2 linked regions of the Ovis aries genome follow. The protein of the gene in region 2 purifies or fractionates together with the protein of the main gene of each other region. This does not show direct contact. Links are inferred from orthologs where the notes say so. Each region holds a gene or a part of one and is shown on either strand. Other genes may lie near its edges.

What was found. The genes of interacting proteins can lie anywhere in the genome.
Region 1: the proteins of protein argonaute-1 (region 2) and TARBP2 purify together in Homo sapiens (co-immunoprecipitation; 4 studies listed by BioGRID and IntAct, with this or other methods). This does not show direct contact. The link is inferred for Ovis aries from reciprocal best matches to the Homo sapiens genes AGO1 and TARBP2.

The regions. Positions count from the first base shown.
Region 1 is NC_056056.1:133,004,823-133,007,666, reverse strand, and holds the end of TARBP2 (RISC-loading complex subunit TARBP2), read left to right. Parts: intron 1-75; coding exon 76-148; intron 149-369; coding exon 370-487; intron 488-782; coding exon 783-910; intron 911-1,555; coding exon 1,556-1,757; intron 1,758-1,911; coding exon 1,912-2,069; 3' UTR 2,070-2,337; downstream 2,338-2,844. Other genes in the region: NPFF (pro-FMRFamide-related neuropeptide FF), read right to left, coding at 2,670-2,787. UniProt on the Homo sapiens protein: Required for formation of the RNA induced silencing complex (RISC). Component of the RISC loading complex (RLC), also known as the micro-RNA (miRNA) loading complex (miRLC), which is composed of DICER1, AGO2 and TARBP2.
Region 2 is NC_056054.1:10,833,115-10,836,680, reverse strand, and holds part of protein argonaute-1, read right to left. Parts: intron 3,254-3,566; coding exon 3,106-3,253; intron 1-3,105.

The DNA.
Region 1 (2,844 bases), on a different chromosome or scaffold from region 2:
AGGGCGGAGGACTCCTGGGCAGCTGCAGAAGGAGCCAGTCCCCTCAGCTTTGGCCCTGGGCCCTTTTTCCTTCAGGAGCTCCCCCATGGAGGCGCAGCCCCCAGTCTCTCCTCAGCAGTCTGAGTGCAACCCGGTCGGCGCCCTGCAGGTGGGCTGCATCCTCATTCCCCCTGCCTGCCTGCCTTCGCTTGTACCTGGGGCTGTGGGGGAAGCTGATAGGGGCCAGGTACCCTGTTCTGAGGGCTTTCCCCACCCACCTCCCTTCACTCCTCCTCTAACCTGGAACCTGAGACTCCGGGACGGGAGTGGGGGGGATGTGAGGACTCCTCTCTCACACACTCTTGCACACCCTTGTTTCTCCCTTCCAAGGAGCTGGTGGTGCAGAAAGGCTGGCGGTTGCCTGAGTACACGGTGACCCAGGAGTCTGGGCCAGCCCACCGCAAAGAGTTTACTATGACCTGCCGAGTGGAGCGTTTCATTGAGATTGGTAACTGGGCGGAGGGGAGTGCTTGTAGTGACTACCCCGCAGCACTCCAGCCCTGGCCAGGGGCAGCTCCCAGCTTCTCTCTACGCTCCTGGCTGAGACCCTGGTTTGGCTGCTGCTTCCTTGCGCCCTTTCTTGCCCTCCTCTTCTGGCCAGCCGGGTTCTTGGGTGCCTGGCAGATCCTGAGTTCCCCTTTTCAATTGACAGCCACTGAGGGGACCCTCAGCCCAAGTTTAAGCTGGGTGGAAGCAATGGGTCTACTGGGAACCATAATTCAGCAGCCCTCTCCCCTGTGCAGGCAGTGGCACGTCCAAAAAGCTGGCAAAGCGTAACGCAGCGGCCAAAATGCTTCTTCGAGTGCACACAGTGCCTCTGGATGCCCGGGACGGGAACGAGGCAGAGCCCGAAGACGATCACTTTTCCATTGTGAGTGGCTTTTGGGCCATGCCCCGTGCTCCATCCTTCATGCCAGGGTAGGGCACTGAGGACTCAGGTCTGTGACTTGGAAGTGAGCTTCCTGGGCCCCAGACCTCCTTCTGCCCATTTTCCTTCTGGACCCAGGGATCCTTGGGCCCCCTTTCAGCCTCAGCTGTAGGGCTGCGTGGTGAGTGCTTTGGGGAAGGGAGCTGGCCCAGGGCAAGGGACCTGAGGCTTCTGTTATTGGAATAGAAAGGTTGCCTGACCATCTGGTCCACAGTCTAGTAGTTAGAAGGGGCCACACAGGGATTGGGCTTCCTGGGTGGCTCAGTGGTAAAGAATCTGCCTGCCAAGCAGGAGATACAGGTTCAATCCCTGGATCAGGAAGATCCCCTGGAGGAGGAAATGGCAACCCACTCCAGTAGTTTTGCCTGAAAAATTCCATGGACAGACGATCCTAGTGGGCTACAGTCTGTGGGGTTGCAGAAGAGTCAGGCACGACTTAGAGACCAAACAATCCAGGGATTGACTGGCAGGTGGGAAGCAAACAGGAGGAAGCATTCTTTGGGCTTTTCTCCTTGGGCATGGAATGTCTCTTCAGGGCCTGGTTTCAGAGCCCCTGGCTGCATCCTTCCCCCGTCCCTGTCTTGTCAGGGTGTGGGCTCCCGCCTAGATGGACTTCGGAACCGAGGCCCAGGCTGCACCTGGGATTCTCTGCGGAATTCAGTGGGAGAGAGGATCCTGTCCCTCCGCAGCTGCTCCTTGGGCTCCTTGGGCGCTCTGGGCCCTGCCTGCTGCAGTGTCCTCAGTGAGCTCTCTGAGGAGCAGGCCTTCCATGTCAGCTACCTGGATATTGGTATGGCTAGTCGGGGGGCCGGGGGACGGTGGGGACTAGACCAGAGCAAGTATGGATGGGAATGAGGGCTTGGGAGGGCGTGACAGTGACATGGACCCGCCCCAGTGCTGCCTTCCTGCCCAACATTGCCTCCCTCTTCTCTCTCGGTCTCCAGAGGAGTTGAGCCTGAGTGGGCTCTGCCAGTGCCTGGTGGAGCTGTCCACACAGCCAGCCACCGTGTGCCATGGCTCTGCAGCCACCAGGGAGGCAGCCCGTGGCGAGGCTGCGCGCCGTGCCCTGCAGTACCTCAAGATCATGGCGGGCAGCAAGTGAAGCCACGGCAGGACTCATGAAATACATCCTCTGCTCCCTGCTCTTCCTGCGCCCGGCCTGTGAGCCTGCCCAGCTCTGGTACCCCCTGGAGGTGCCACCTCTACCTCTGACACAGACTGCAGGCTGAAGAAGGCACAGGGCCAGGAGCCAGGGACCACAGGGCCTCAGCTGGCTCAGGTTCTGCCGTCATGTAACTGGTGATGACCAAGGGGAATGAAACTGGGGGCTTTCCCATTAAGAGCCCCAAATAAATGTGCTGCTTTTTGGATTCTTTAGTCCTGGTCTGTTTCCCTGAGTGGTCAGCAGTGGAGGGGGTTAGCGCCAGGTCACGTCCCCGGTGTGCCTCCCACTCTGCTCCCCACGCGTCCCCATGTTTGCCCTTCTGGTGGGTGCACTGACATCTGGGTACACCATCGCCTGTGTTCCTGGAGAGTTGGGTTTAGTGGTGGTGGGGGAGGCTGTGGTTCTTGTCTTGGGACTCCCTCCTGTGTCTCATGATGCAGACACGTGCACACGGATTCAGAAGCCAGACAGCTTTATTCGCAGGGGACACATGGCAGTTTGGGGTGTGGGCCTTGAATGCAAACCTCAGATGACACGTCACTTCTTCCCGAAGCGCTGAGGGGCAGCCAGGCTCCAGAAGGGGGAACTCAGCCCCTCTCCAGCTCGGGGACTCAGTCTTTTGTTGCTCCAGGAGCCCCGGGTGTTTCTGCCAAACCTTAGGAGAGATCCACCCTCAGCTATGGGTCCTTCCAGATCCCCACTTTCCTCCTCT
Region 2 (3,566 bases):
AGGGCCAATACTCTAAGTACTGATTCTCTGCCTAATTTCCAGAGTTCATGGTGAACAATGGTAGGGAAAACCAGGACAAGGTCATCTACCCTTAAACTCTGTATTTCAAAGAATACACATTAGTCAATTTACTTAATGAAAACCCAGAATTGTTAAAATTTGTAAGGTTGCTCTCTTGAAGGCAATTTAAAGGTGCAGATAATTTCAATTACAGAATCAACACAAGGCAAAAAAAAAGCAGAGATGTGGAGAAACTGGATCCCTTGTGCACTGCTGGTAGGAATGTAAAACGGTACACCTGTGTGGAAAACAGTATGGTGAGTCCTCAAAAAATTAAACACAGAATTACCATATGATCCAGTAATTCCACTTCTGGGTATGTACTCAAAAGAAACGAAAGCAGGGACTAGAACAAATATTTGTACATCTATCTTCACAGCAGCATTATTCATAATAGCTAGAAGGTGAAAGCAACCCAAGTATCCATCAATAAATGTGTTACATACATACATGGAAATATTATTCAACCTTAAAAAGGGAGTTCTGACATACTCTACAATGTAGATGAACCTTGAAGACATTATGCTAAGTGAAACTGGCCAGTTTAAAAAGGCCATGTATTACATAATTTCATTTGTATGAAATGTCCAGGACAGACAAATCCATAGAGACAGAAGCAGATTAGAGATTAGTAGGGGCTAGTGTGGAGGACAGAAGGAATGCTAAGTGACTATTAATGGGTTTGGTCTTTCTTTGGGGGAAGGATGATGAAAATGCTTTAGAATCACACGATGGTAATGATTATGTAACTCTGTAAATACACTGAAAACCACTGAAGTGTACATTTTAAGAGGGCAAACTTTATGGGATGCGAATTACGTCTCAATAAAGCTATTCTGAAAAAAATATATCACCTACAATAGCCTGTATGATTTGACCCTGTACCTCTCTCCAAAATCATCTCCTACTTTTCTCCTCATAAACTACATGCCAGTCACTATGTCCTTCTATCTCTCTCAAGAATATCCAAGCTCTCTGCTGCTTACGTACTTGCTATTAAACTCATGCCTGAAAGGTTCTTCCTTCAGGTTGTTAAAAGATTGGTTCTATCTCATAATTTGGGATTCAGCTCAAATGTCTCCTAAAAGAAGCCTTCCCTGACCACAAAAACTAAAGTGAATCTCCAACCCCCTCCACTTTATGACTGTCCCCAGTATTCTTACCTGGAGAATCCCACGGACGGAGGAGCCCGGTAGGCTACAGCCCATGGGGTCGCAAAGAATCGGACACGACTGAGCGACTTCACCTCACCTCACCTTAACCTTATGGTACTTATCACCATCTGAAACTATCTTATTTGTCTATTTCCCCCTTCTAGATTTTAAGCTCCATGACAGTAAGAGCCCTGCTTCTCTTGTTGCCTTCCTGGCACCTCGGAGTATATGACTTTAACAGGAGCTCAATAAATATTTGTTAAATAAATAAGCAACAGTAAAAATCAAAATATGTCATTATATAAGTTATTCACCATGGAAACTATTGTTTAAACAGAAATCATGTCAATTTGCTAACAGATCTCAGCTTGCAATAGCTATTACCTAAAGCCTATCTACTTAGCTGAAACTGCCCCTAAAGACTTCTGCTTCCATCTCAGAGAACATGCTGTCCTCACCTCATTTTCTATGCATCAGCAGCTATTAACTATGTCAGCGTTCTTAGGTTTGGGGATCTCTTCTTTCTCCCTCAGCCAAACTTCCTCTGGTTAGTTCTGAAATCCCAAAAGCTCACAGAAGGCTTAGGTCCCAGATATCTGACCCCCAGTGCTAGAAGAGAATAAGACAGTACTCTAGGCTAGTGCTTCGTCAACATAAACATTCATATTTGACAGAATCTTTGGATTCTGTAAAAAGAGATACTGATACAGCAAGCCTAGGTGGAACCTGAGATTCTGCATTTCAAACAAGCTCTCAGGTAATAACTATGCTCTTGGTCTGCTGACCACACTCTGAGAGGCACTGGACTAGACAATGAAGCAGTCAGAGGTAGGTTCTCAGTAGACATTCTGGCTGCCAACAGGGAACACCTAAACATTATGGCTGCTGCTGCTGCTGAGTCGCTTCAGTCGTGTCCGACTCTGTGCGACCCCATAGACCGGAGCCCACCAGGCTCCCGTCCCTGGGATTCTCCAGGCAAGAACACTGGAGTGGGTTGCCATTTCCCTCTCCAATGCATGAAAGTGAAAAGTGAAAGGGAAGTCGCTCAGTCGTGTCTGACTCTTCGCGATCCCATGGACTGCAGCCCACCAGGCTCCTCCGTCCATGGGATTTTCTAGGCAAGAGTACTGGAGTGGGGTGCCATTGCCTTCTCCGAAACATTATGGCTAGTATATAACAAACCAAATGCAGACTAGTGGTTCTTCATTTGCATTCTATGACTAGAGCATTACTATTCTTTCTTTAATTGCAGAATTTCAAAGGTTGGCTGAAGCATAAAAATATGACAAATCTTGGTTAAAACTTTTTCAAAGGGAACACATTGATGACTGGGGAAATAGGATTTCCATTACAGGTAACATTCACCTCCAATATCTGTAAAATAAAGTACATTTGTATCTTTAGGTTATTTAGGATTCCCAGCTCCAGATAGGGAAAGAGAAATTAAGAGGACATGAGTGTATCTTAGAGTGTTCATTATCTTTATTGTAGGGATGTCAAAACGCATCAAATGGTACACTTGAAATGTGCAGTTTATTGTATGTCAACTATAAATAAAGCCATACAGAAATCAAAAAATAAATAAATAAATAAAGGACACGTGTGCAGGTATCTGAAATCTCTGTCCTGAATGACTAATTACTTATTAAACAGTAAATACATATAGCTTCGCCTCTGTCTGGAAGTCCTGAAAAACCATGAGAGCAGGATGAGGATAAGTAAAGAATTCAGCAGTTTAGAATGATGACTGCATTTCACAGAATGACCTCTCAGAATATCACTTTTCCAAGCCTTAAAATGATGAGACTATAAATGGAAGAACAGACCTCTGACGATCTGTGTGCAGGTACAATGCTTGTTCCCCAGCCCGGCCATTACTTGGCAGCCTCACCTCTAGGGGCAGGTAGGTATGCTTTTGTTCCTGGCCAACTTGCAGGCAAGGCAGGTGGGGATACTTGAGCTGCAGGTTATATTTCTGCTTGAAATACTGGGCCACTGTGCACTCCACAGTCTGTCCACTCTCTAGCTGCAGAGGAAACCTGTTTGGGGGAAGGGAAAGAGGTGTCATAGTCCAGCATTCAATAACACCTTTCTAGACCTATAACCATGCACAAGGCCAGACTTGACTTCATTCCTTTCCAGCCTCTGTGAACACTCCTGCCACTCACGGGAAAGCAGAGGCAACACAGGGCTCAAGAGTGAAGCCAAAGATTTGAAAAACAAGTTATACAATGGTCAGATCATATCTGATTCATCTGTATTTCTAATGTTGAACATGAAGTCCGACACACAGTAGTCACTCATGGTCCAGCACAGTCTGAAGTGGAAGATTTTAGATGATATCAGTGACAA